3 linked regions of the Canis lupus familiaris genome follow. The main gene of each other region encodes a partner of the protein of the gene in region 2 in a complex. Links are inferred from orthologs where the notes say so. Each region holds a gene or a part of one and is shown on either strand. Other genes may lie near its edges.

Region 1 (3,626 bases), on a different chromosome or scaffold from region 2:
CTACGCGCTTCGCAGTGTCTGCTTTTATTCCCCTGCACACAGAGCCCGCAGGGGCCGCGCCTCCCTCCTGGGGCTGAGGCCGTGACGGGGCGGGGCGGGGGTGCCGGGCCCGCCCTCGCCCGAGGGACGCGCGTCGGGGCGGATGCGGGGGCGACTTCTTACTGCACGCCTTCCATCATCTTCAGGAACTCTGCGGGGATGGAGCGCGGAAGCGTCAGTCGCACGCACCGCCGGGGCTCCCGCCCTGCGGACAAAGCCACGGACGGCCGCGTGGGAGCCCCGCCCCGCGCCCCGCGCCCCGCGCCCCGCGCCCGCCCTCACCGTCGAAGTCGATGCGGCCGTCGTTGTTCTTGTCGCCGTCTTTCATCAGGGACTCAATCTCCTCGTCTGTCACGTGCTCCCCGGAGGCCCTGAAGATTTCAGCCAGCTCCTCCGCATCGATGTAGCCGTCTGCGTTCCTTGGGGCGAAGGGACAGGGTGTCAGGACAGGCGGGGGCGAGCCGCCCCCCACACCCCCACACCGCCCACCCGCGCCGCCTGGTCCGCGCACTCGCCCAGCCCAGCGCCTTCTCGGCTCCCCAGCCCTCAGTGCACCTGTCGAAGATGCGGAAACACTCGGCCAGCTCCTCCTCGCTCTTGCCCTTCGCATCCTCTTTCATCTGGCGCACCATCATGACCAAGAACTCCTCGAAGTCGATGGTGCCGCTGCCTGAGGCGAGCAGGTGGCGAGTGAGCCTGAGCCCTGCGGGCCCACCCCGCCCGCCGCAGTCGCAGCCCCTGGAGGGCCACCTGCTCACCATCCTCGTCCACCTCCTCGATGATGGCGTCCAGCTCCTCTTTGGTGGGGGTCTGGCCCAGCATCCTCATCACCGTGCCCAACTCCTTGACGCTAATGTCCCCGCCACCATCAGCGTCGAACATGTCGAAGGCAGCCTTGAACTCTGAGCGAGGCAGAGGACCGAGGTGGGCCTGGCTGGACTGTCAGCCTCACACCCTCCCTCCCACCCTGCCCAGCCCCCAGCACTGCCCAGCACGCAGCCACCCGCCCGCCGGCCCGCACTCACCAGCGATCATCTCCTCGCTGAGGTAGGACCGGGCCTCCGCCTGCTGGTCCGTCTGCAGGAGACACAGAGTCAGCCAGCAGAAGGGGTGGCCCCAGAGCTCATTCTTGCCTTAACCCCCTTCTCTTCAACCCCTTTCTGTCAGTGCCCTTTGGTCTTCCAGAAGAACAGTTCCAAACTAACAACACCTTCTGCATGCTCCCGCAGCACCTGAACCCCAGTTTTGAAGAACAAGGAGGAAACAGATTATGCCCAGGGTCTCCAAACCTGCTAATCAGATGTCAAGTCAGGAATCCCCCTTTCTAACCTTGGGCAAGTCACTTATTCTACTCTAGCTCTTCTCAGCTGCTTTTCAAGAATGAAAAGATCAGAGACGTCAAAGAGTTTTGTAAAGTACCAGCACTATTCCAGCATCATTTTTCAGTGTCCCCCAGCTCCCAGTAGAGCCTGGTACTATAATAGGGGCTCAGTAAATGTTCTCAATAATGCAAGGCAGAGTCATTGAGCCCCAACTAAGCGTCAGGCCAGACACTGGACACTGAGGCCAAGAAGACCCAGACACCCATCCCTTCCCTCCGACAACTTGTGGAGATGGAGATTTTAAGCTCCCTTCTTATCACTTAGCCATTGGAGTAAATCATAATCATGCTGGACAGAATATAATGGGGGCCTTGTGGAGGTGGAAATAAGATTTCGGGGGAGGCGATCTGGCCACATCCAAGCCAAGCCATCTGGCTATGGGACTTTGGACTGAGGCTGGCGGGGAGGAGGGGCTGAGGTGGCCAAGGCCTTCTTCGGCGGCCAGCTAGCCACTGCCCTCCTCCTTACCCTCCCCTCCTCCCTCCTCCTTGACCATGCAGGAGGGCAGGCTATTTTTAGCCTGGCATGGGCAACAGCAGCTGTCCTGTGGGGTCTAGTTACCCCTTGAAGTGGGGAGAGGGACCTCAGGGGAAATGACCTCCCTCTCTGGGAGGCTGGGGTCTCTAACCTTGGTCTATCATCTTCTGCCCCTTCTCTCCCTCATAGCTCTTGGGATCCTGCACCTTAGCTGGCTTGAAGCTCTGTAGGCCTCCCTTCTTCTAGAGGACTCCTCTCACCGGCAGTAGGATGATTTGGCAAGACCTCCAGCTAGCTCACCCCAGCCACTGGCTTGCTAGGTGACTCACTCTGGCCCTCAGGGTCCCCACCTCCACCGTGAGGGAGACAAGCTAACACCCCCCTCACAATTCCGTGGCCAACACTGCCAAAGCCTTAGGTCTGCAGGGAGTTGGCAATCCCAGAGCACCCAGCCCTCCCCTTCCTAGAGAAGTCCAAGGCCTTCTTCCCAGGCTTCCTCCTAGACATCTAGGCTCCAGGAGCCTACATGTTCCATCTTTAAACGTCCAATTACTGAACTACAGAGCACCCAGATCTGGCCTGGAAGAGGTCCAGAAGTGCTCCAGCAAGCAAAGGGATGAAGTTCCTTCTTGTCCTTACCATGGTTGCAAGTCACTGGGCCTCCCCTGCTTCAGGTCAGTCACCTCCTCAGCACTCCACCACCCAAAGATACCCTGGCCTGCTCCAGCACCTTGGATTTGTAGGGGCACCCTCTCCTCCCACCTCTCTGCTCCCCAGGACTAATTGCCCTGGCCAATCAGATCCTGGGGTCAGTGAGCACCTCCTCCTTTCCTCCCCCACCCCCATTCCAGAGTCCTGGCCCATTACCTAATTTAGCCAAGGGCCCTTGCAGAGAAATTTAAGCCTGTGAGCAGGTGGCAGGCCTTGACGTCCTAGATTCTTGGGAGAAGAACCCGCCCTGCTCCACTGCTTTAGGGAGCCCCTGCTCAAGAAACACGCTTGCTCCAAGATGGGTGAGGATAATCAGAATCCAGAAAAGTTGAAGCAGCATGGCAGACAGGAAAGAGCACGAGCCTTGAAGTCTTAAACCCAATACTTTCTTTGCAAGCTGTGTACTCTTAGGCAGGTGACATGCCACTCTGAGCTTCAGTTTCTGAGCTTCAGTTTCCTTCTCTGTGAGGTGGAGATGGGGACAGTCATGACCCGCCCTCACAGAGAGACCAATGAGAAATGGGGCCCAGGTGTAAGTCGCCGAGCTTGTGCCTGCTCTATAGGGTTGGTGCTTGGCAAGTGGAATGTCCTGTCTGAACCATGCTAGAGGGCAGGGGAGGGGAGGAGGAGAGAATGACAGCCAGTCACTGAACCTCTAGGTTCACACTCCATGCTAAGCATTTTAACCATGTGATCTCACCTAGTCGTCATCTATAGGGGAGAAGCTATTATTATTCCCTTTTTACTGGGGAGCTTTGTTAAATCACAAAGGTCTATAGTCATGTCAATGATTCTTATTATTCCTGAAGGGAAGTTGGGACAGCCAGGAGGGGACCTGTCCAAAGGAGAAATCTACAGATCCAGGAGATGGGTATGCATTTGGAAGAGAAATAAACATTGAGGGATGCCTGGGTGGCTCAGCAGCTGAGTGTCTGCCTTTGGCTCAGGGCATGATCCCAGTCTAGGGATGGAGTCCCACATTGGGCTCCCCACAGGGAGCCTACTTCTCTCTCTGCC
Region 2 (3,626 bases):
AGCATGGCCTGCAGGCCCGGCGGCCTCCCCGCTGCCCTTACCCCGGGCTGTCCCCAGCACGCTGCTGTTTGCTGGGTGCCTGGAGGCCATCTGTGGGCTGTGAGGCTGGGCAGGACCAGACCAGACCAGTCACGGGGATTGGAATCCTTTATTAACCACTGAGACGAGCCCTGTCCTCCCACCCTCTGCGGGGGGAGGGCCGCACCGGGCAAGAGGGTGGCAAGTGGCCTAGGACTCAGTCTCAAACATCTTCTTCCTGCCCTCCATGCCAGACTTCTCCTCGATGTTCTTCCGCCAGTCACCCACGTCACGCAGGTCCCGCTCCTGGGGACAGGTGCAATGGGGCTTAGGAAGGCACTGCAGGCCGCCCTTGGCCTCAGTTTCCCCCTCCCGGGGCCCAGAGCCCAGCCGTGGTGGGGGTCTGCTCAGTGGGCTGGGGAGGTGCCGCGTACCTTCTCGGTGTCCTCCTTCTTGACCTGCTTCAGGTTGGCCCTCAGGTCCATGCACACCTTGTGCTTGGAGCCCAGCAGCGCCTTGAGCATCGCGTCGGCAGACATGCGCACCCTCCTCAACGGGGGCCTCTTGAACTTGCCTCTCAGGTCGAACAGCTTCTGGTTCATGTCCTCCAGCTGCGGGGCAGAGGTTAGGGCTGGGTGGGTGGCAGTGGCTGCAGGGCCCCCTGCTGGTCCGGGGAGCCCCTCACCCGTCCACGCCCACCCCATGCCTGCTTACCTCCTTGGTGCTCTTCTGAACCCTCACTTCCATGTCATACTTCTCCTCCTCGGCTGCGTCGATCTTGGCGTGCAGCTGTTTGCAGAGCTCCTGGGGTGGGGGCAGCAGGTGGGGTGGGGCAGCTGTCCACCTGACCTCCACCTACCCTACCGGCCCTCTTGACCAAAGGGGAAACTGAGGCAACAGGCCAGAGCACCGCTCGGGGAGGGTACCTGCACTTCGGACATGGAGCCGGGCAGGTGCAGAGGCGGGCAGTGCTCAGACAGGTAGTTCTGCTTCTCAGACTCACGGCGACTCTCTTCTTTCTCCAGCTCCTGGGCGGCAATCTGGAGCATGACACTCTAGAGGGGCAGGGAGCGGGGGGCAGGCGGTGAGGGACTGTGGTGGCCCAGTCCCACTGGCACCCTGGGATGGCCCTCTCCAGGGAGCACCTACCTTCAGGTGCTGTCTCCGGGCCGTGATGGCCCTGTTGCGTTTCTGCAGGGGAGGGGGCAGGAAGCAGAGTCAGGGCTAGTTGGGGTCCCTGGCACCCCCACATCCCTCCACGCTTGCTCCACCAGGCCTGTGGACCCTGCCTGGATGCAACTGAACCGGGGTGGGGGGGTCCCAAGGCCCTGCTGGGGGACCGGGCCCAGGACACCTGTGACCAGGTGGCGGGTGAGGCTTAAAGGCTCAGGGAGGTAAAAGGAAAAGGGGCGGTACCTCAGGGGCAGGGGGAGGGGCAGGGGATCCCTGCAGGGCCCAGGAGGTGGGGGGCAGCCTCAGAAAGAAGAAGCGATTCTGGTGACCAGGCCCCAGCCCCACATCCCCTGCCCTGTGAGACGTGGGTAGCCACTTCCTGTTTCATTGAGTCTGGGTGGCTGGGTGGGGCACTCTCACGGGGGAGGGCTGGGCAGCTGCCCCTGTGCTCTAACCTATGACCTATCCCAAGTCAGGCAGGTCCCATCCCCTCTGTGTTTCATGCCTCCCCCCCCCCCAGCAGGTACTCACCTCCTCACTGTCCCGGGGAGGCAGGGGGGTTAAGGGGAGAAAAGAGACAGGTTAGGGACATAGATGGGACAGTATGATGGGGGAGTGGAGGGTGGTCAGAGCCAGCCGGGGAACTGTAGAGACCCCCGCCTGGTGGGGAGGGTGGGGACAGCAGGGGGCCCCCAGCTTTGGGCTGCACTTACTCCCCCATCCTGAAGTCCTGGGCTTAGAGCCTGTGGGAGAGAAAAGGCATGGGTGTGAGGGCCATGGCCCATCCTGCCCTGGACGCTGGTTATCCAGGTGGGGGCCACCCTGACCCCAGCCCTCTGCCTGTTGCCCTGCCCCCAGCTCTGACCTCCTTGGAGGCACCATCTTGGGATTCCCAGGGTAAGAAGAGGAGAAAGTGTTCCTAAAATGTCCCAGGCGGGGCCCGGGTTGTTGCAGCTGTCCCGGGGGGGCGGGACGGGCCAGCACAGGTGGCCACGAGAGCCTTCCCACTATTTTTAGCTCTGCTCCTTCGGCTTTGGGCCCAAGTGCATGCAAGAAAGTGCTCCCCGCTTTGGCCTGGGGTCCCTCGACCCATCAGATCTCCTCCCTGTGTCCCACCCAGAAGGGAGGGCTGGTGATCTGGAGGCTGTCCACGACCCCTGGCCACCCCCCACCCCAGCCACCTCCCAATGCATCGCCATCTGGCTCCAGGCTCCATGGAAGCCACCCCCCCTGAGAGGGCTGCTAGAGGCGGCCCCCAACCCCCAGGACCCCACCCTGGGTCGTCCTGGGAGCTAGCTCAAGGAGTGCCTGTCCTCGGCCTGGGCTGGCCGGGCTGGCCTCACCTAGTGTCTGGGCAGCAGGGCCGGGAGCGAGGTCAGGCCGGCAGCGGCAAGTTGGGCTGGTGGGCCCAGGGGGAGGGGTATAAATGGCCTCCCCAGGCTGGGCCCCTGCTCAGAAAGGGCATGGAGCCCTCCTCAGACCAATGGGGGCACAGGGGCCTCCCCACCTGCCCAGGCCGCCCGGCCCGGCCCAGCCGCGTGCTGTCGTCCCGTCCAAGAAGTCTTGGTGGGGGGGGGTGCTGAGGCTGGGCTGCTCTATTTAGAGCTCAGTGACATGTTCGAGAAGCCTCCCTTGTTCTTGCAAGGAGCCCAGGGTCAGCTGTACATGGCCTTGCTGGGCCACTGCAGGGCAAAAGCTCGAGGTCGACTGAGAGGTCACTCAGGTCCTGAGCCCGGGGCCACTCCTCAGTTTTCCCTCTGCTTCCCCGGGGGGGGGGGGGGGGGGGGGGGGGGGGGGGGGGCGGGGTGTGTGTGTGTGTGTGTGTGTGTGTGTGTGTGTGTGTGCGCGCGCGCGCGCGCTGGGAGCAGCCCCCGCAGCTCACTGCTGCCTCTTAGCCAGGCCAGGTGCCCCAGGCATGAGCCTGCCACGTCCTGTCCTTTCTCCAAGCCGGCCCCAGCTCCGGGGCAAGGCCTGAACCCCCCAAACATGGCCCGTGGCGGTGGCCAGGGCCTCCGAGTGGGGGCTGCCCTCCCCCGGCTGAGATCCGGTCCTCCTGGGAGCGGGAGGGAGGGTGCCTGGACGTGCAACCGGCCGGAACACCCTGCCCTGGGGTGGTTCCTGGCTCACTCGGAACCCGTCCTTCAACCCGGGGATGGTGGCACCACCCGCCTGGGAACCTCTCCCTGACCCGAGGGGCCTGGGGCCTGCCTGGCTGCCCGGGCAGGCCCGGCGCTGCTGCCCTTCTCACCCTGGCCCGGGCCTGCGCCCCCCGCCCGGGGCCCCCACCCAGCAGAGACATCCGGACAACCATGACTTGGCATCCTCTGAGCTGGGGGTGCGTGGCCCCAGCCCTGCCGGCCTCACGGGCCGTGGGGAGGGTCAGGGGGAGCTAAAGCCGTCCAGATGTGTGGGGATTAGAGCTGCATTCCTGGCCA
Region 3 (3,626 bases), on a different chromosome or scaffold from region 2:
GAAACTGAGGCCTTGAGGTCACAAGACTGTCCCCCTTTCCCCACCTCTGCAAGAGTCAGGTCAGAGATCCTGGGTCATGCACTCACTTGTCAAACATGCGGAAAAGGTCGGACAGCTCCTCCTCAGACTTTCCTTTGCTGTCATCCTTCATGCACCGAACCATCATGACCAGGAACTCATCAAAGTCCACTGTGCCACTGCCTGCAAGGTGAGCAGCCCAGCCATCAGTGAGGGATGGTTAGAATGCTCTTGACACTAAACCCCTGTGCTCTTGCTGCGTGCATTCTCTCTCTTTTTAAAAATATTTTATTTATTTATTCAAGAGAGACAGAGAGAGAGAGAGGCAGAGACACAGGCAGAGGGAGAAGCAGGCTCCCTGCAGGGGAGCCTGATGAAGGACTCGATCCCGGGACTGCAAGACCATGCCCTGAGCCAAAGGCAGCCACTCAACTGCTTAGCCACCCAGGTGCCCTGCTGCATGCATTCTCATAGCAACTCCGTGAGACGAGTGTGGTCATTATATCCATTTCAGAAGATGACACGATTGAGGCTCAGAGAGGTTAAAAGTTCCTTCGAGGGCACAGAGTAATAAGTGGCAGAGCCAGGATTTGGGGCCCAAGCACTGGAGGCTGATGTGGGTCTAGGGTCTGGGGGGCAGGGGGCTCACCGTCCTCATCCACCTCGTCAATCATCTCCTGCAGCTCCTCGGGTGTGGGGTTCTGGCCCAGCATCCTCATCACCTTGCCCAGCTCCTTGGTGCTGATGCAGCCATCTTCGGCGCCCAGCACGAAGATGTCAAAGGCTGCCTTGAATTCTGTGTCCAAAGGGAAGGAGGGGAAGATAGAGTGGTCAGGGCTCAGAAGCCAGGATCCCAGAAGGCCAGACCTCTGGGGCCATCTGCCAACTGCCTTTTCCCTCCAAGACCTCTGAGGTTGCGGTGAGAGGGACCCCGGCCTCGGGGGTCCTCATGCTCCCCCAGCCTGGCCCTGTCGTACCCCCACATATGTTGGAGCACTCACCATTTTTCTGCTCTTCTGTCAGCTGTTCTACCTGGAGAGAAAAAGAGGTCTCAGGACTGATTCAGGACTTGGCTGCTATTAAGGAAATCAACCCATTCCACAGATGGGGAAAGTGAAGCCAGGAAGAGGCAGGCCATTCCCAGGTCACAGTCCTCAGTCCTCACTCCCTGTCCCCCGAAGTCCTGAGGTGACCCAGCTGGCCTCACTGAGGCTGGGCTTAGGGCCAGGGTGACAGGTGGGCGCCCCTTCCAGGGCCAAGGTGACCCCGAGTAACAATAGTCAGTGACCACTCAATGCCCTTTCGGCTCCCTTGGTGAAATCCAAGCTGGGTGGCCTGAGGGACAGCTGTCCCTCAGGTTGGGACAATAAAACCAGTGTGGGGATAGGCAAAGCCACCCACTGTAACCTGACCTGGACGGCCACTGGGCTATTTTTAACGGGGGACAAAGTTAAACCTGGTGATTGTTCTGGGGACTCTGGCATGCAGGGGGTGGGGCAGCATTATCTGGCCCCCTGGCCTGCTGGTGCCTCAGGAGCCAAAATTAGTCCCCAGCCCCACCAGGCCTTGTATGGGCACAGGGTGGAGGGCAGCTCCCTCCCCCGCCAGCTCTGTGGACTCCTGTAGGACAGGCAGGGACAGCCCTAGAGCCAGCTCTAGCTCTCCCCTGCCCGGAAGTGAGGCTGCACTCCACTCTCAGGGCTGAGGGAGGGGTTCCCTTGGGGACAGTTGTCTATGCCGAACATCCTTGCCTCTGGGACAGGGGGAGGTCAGCAACACCACCTACTCCTGGGAGGGACTAGTATCTGAGGCCCCTCAGTGACCCTAGGACGCTGCAGGGACTCAGGGTGACCACTCTCCAGCCCTCACCCCTGGCTAAACCACTGACCCCTGAGCCCTCCAGGCCTGATTGGGGTGGGGGCCCTGGTTCTTGATTCCTTTTTCCCTGTGTCTCCCCCATGCTTAGCGCTTCCCTGCCTACCTCAAACCTCTAAGCCCCTTTTCCAGCTCAGGATTCTGGATCACCAGCCCCCTTCTCAAACTGTCCCACCCTCCACAGCATCTTCAGCCATCCAAGGAGCTGGAGGTAGGGGGTGGGGTGAGGAGCAGAATGTGAGGGGCAGAAACGGAGAGGGGGATGAGGTGGGGACAGGGAAACAGAAGCAGAGACTCAGAGGGACAACGAGGAGGAACAAAGAGATAGAAAGAGACTGATAAAGGCAAAGATCCAAAAACCACAGACACAAGTGAAGGGAGATGTGGCTGGAAGATAGTGACACAGACTACAGACACTTGGAGACAGGGGCAGACGTGATGCTAAAAGTTATGACCTCCTCCACCCTCCAAAAAGCTCCTCTCCAGACCTTGAACCCCTCACCCTAAACCCCTCACTCCTTCTACACCCTGGAATTAGAATGCCAGATCCACCATCCATCCCCTTGAGGGCCTGGGCTGAAAGTTGCATGGGCCCTCTCCCAGGTCCCCACTACCTTTGTAGAGTGACCTCACCCCCCATCGTGAGTTGAGTGAGGCCCCAGTGGGCCCATCCACCCCAGCCCTGCCCAGCCCAGTCCCTCACCGCAGCCTTGTAGATGTCATCCATGCTGGCGGCTCACAGGGCAGGCTGCTGGGGTTGCCAGCCAGCCCTGGGCTTAAATAGCCCTGCCCCACCTCATTCCCCGCCGGCCCAGCCCACCCCAGCCTGCAGTATCCTCCACCCCCTCCCCCAGCCCTGGTGATCTCAGGCTGGCCTGAATCCCTGTGTCCTCTGCCCAGTGCAGGGAGCAGATGAAGGGCTGCAAAAGGACCACATCTTTTTCCTTCTGTCCCCCATGGTTCCTAGGGGACTCTCTGGAAAGTCTTCTTGAATGAAAGAAAACATAAGCCAAGAACAGGACAGGTGCTGAAAAATAGTGGGCCCCAGGCCAGGCCCCTACACACAGAAGTTCAATTCTTATCCAATCAGGAAGATGGGTAATATTCCCATTTTTCAGATGAGGAAACTTAAGCTCCTGGAGGGCTGGTGATTTGTTCGGAATACGTCTGACTTGGCAGCCCCCGTCTTAAGCTAAGCCTGTTGCGGAGGGAGGGTGCTGGCCAGCAGTATGCAGCAAAGAGAGGCCCTTTCAAGAGAAGCTTCGAATGCCAAGTTCAGAGTATGGCGTTGTGTAACCACCGGAGAAGGAAGTCATTCACCCACGTTAGCACAGAGTGCTCTGGAGCCCTTGGGCCCAGGGGTGTCAGAGCATCCATAGCCAAGACCTCTCATCTCCCCAGGGAGAACAGCACTAGCTCTGGGTGTGGGTAAGCTGCATTTGGTCATTCAGTGCACACATGTACAGATGCCCCATCCGTGCTAGACTTTTCCCCTTCAGCTGGGTTACCATCCCCCTCTTCCAGGTGGGGGTCTTCCCCTGGGTTAGGGCTCCATCTCTGTGTCTGTGCTTCCCCATTCCAGTACTATAGTTTCTAGGGCCAGGGCCAGCCTGTTAGCCCCAACGGCCAGCGCCCATCCCTCCCTCCCACCCCCCTGCGGAGCCCCGTCTCCATAACCACACCAGCTCCCTGCCTCGAGTGCCGGGCACTGCGTGGATTAATCCCATTCGCTA

Evidence for each region.
Region 1: the proteins of TNNI2 (region 2) and TNNC2 are in contact, whole or in part, in a crystal structure (PDB 1A2X), measured with the Oryctolagus cuniculus proteins. The link is inferred for Canis lupus familiaris from reciprocal best matches to the Homo sapiens genes TNNI2 and TNNC2. Residues at the interface, in NP_001076252.1 of Oryctolagus cuniculus: Glu5, Asn8, Arg9, Ile11, Thr12, Arg14, Arg15, Gln16, His17, Leu18, Lys19, Ser20, Val21, Met22, Leu23, Ile25, Ala26, Glu29, Leu30, Glu33; in NP_001076114.1 of Oryctolagus cuniculus: Ser13, Glu15, Met16, Ala18, Glu19, Ala22, Lys91, Leu96, Glu98, Cys99, Arg101, Ile102, Phe103, Arg105, Ile119, Phe120, Ala122, Ser123, Glu125, His126, Val127, Glu131, Ser134, Leu135, Asp138, Phe152, Met155, Met156, Val159, Gln160.
Region 3: the proteins of TNNI2 (region 2) and TNNC1 are in contact, whole or in part, in an NMR structure (PDB 2MKP), measured with the Homo sapiens proteins. The link is inferred for Canis lupus familiaris from reciprocal best matches to the Homo sapiens genes TNNI2 and TNNC1. Residues at the interface, in NP_001139301.1 of Homo sapiens: Arg116, Met117, Ser118, Ala119, Asp120, Ala121, Met122, Leu123, Ala125, Leu126, Leu127, Lys130, His131, Lys132; in NP_003271.1 of Homo sapiens: Asn18, Glu19, Phe20, Ala22, Ala23, Ile26, Val44, Met45, Met47, Leu48, Gln50, Pro52, Glu56, Phe77, Met80, Met81, Cys84, Met85, Lys86, Asp87.

Annotation. Positions count from the first base shown.
Region 1 is NC_049245.1:33,759,899-33,763,524, forward strand, and holds TNNC2 (troponin C, skeletal muscle), read right to left. Parts: upstream 2,662-3,626; 5' UTR 2,541-2,661; coding exon 2,538-2,540; intron 1,117-2,537; coding exon 1,065-1,116; intron 942-1,064; coding exon 798-941; intron 710-797; coding exon 595-709; intron 459-594; coding exon 322-458; intron 191-321; coding exon 159-190; 3' UTR 2-158; downstream 1-1. UniProt on the Homo sapiens protein: Troponin is the central regulatory protein of striated muscle contraction. Tn consists of three components: Tn-I which is the inhibitor of actomyosin ATPase, Tn-T which contains the binding site for tropomyosin and Tn-C.
Region 2 is NC_049239.1:46,531,057-46,534,682, reverse strand, and holds TNNI2 (troponin I, fast skeletal muscle), read right to left. Parts: upstream 2,647-3,626; 5' UTR 2,535-2,646; intron 2,091-2,534; exon of another isoform or gene 2,057-2,090; intron 1,935-2,056; 5' UTR 1,913-1,934; coding exon 1,905-1,912; intron 1,730-1,904; coding exon 1,723-1,729; intron 1,210-1,722; coding exon 1,168-1,209; intron 1,074-1,167; coding exon 945-1,073; intron 823-944; coding exon 733-822; intron 630-732; coding exon 453-629; intron 325-452; coding exon 229-324; 3' UTR 130-228; downstream 1-129. UniProt on the Homo sapiens protein: Troponin I is the inhibitory subunit of troponin, the thin filament regulatory complex which confers calcium-sensitivity to striated muscle actomyosin ATPase activity.
Region 3 is NC_049241.1:37,720,303-37,723,928, reverse strand, and holds the start of TNNC1 (troponin C, slow skeletal and cardiac muscles), read right to left. Parts: upstream 2,728-3,626; 5' UTR 2,621-2,727; coding exon 2,597-2,620; intron 1,051-2,596; coding exon 1,020-1,050; intron 815-1,019; coding exon 668-814; intron 202-667; coding exon 87-201; intron 1-86. UniProt on the Homo sapiens protein: Troponin is the central regulatory protein of striated muscle contraction. Tn consists of three components: Tn-I which is the inhibitor of actomyosin ATPase, Tn-T which contains the binding site for tropomyosin and Tn-C.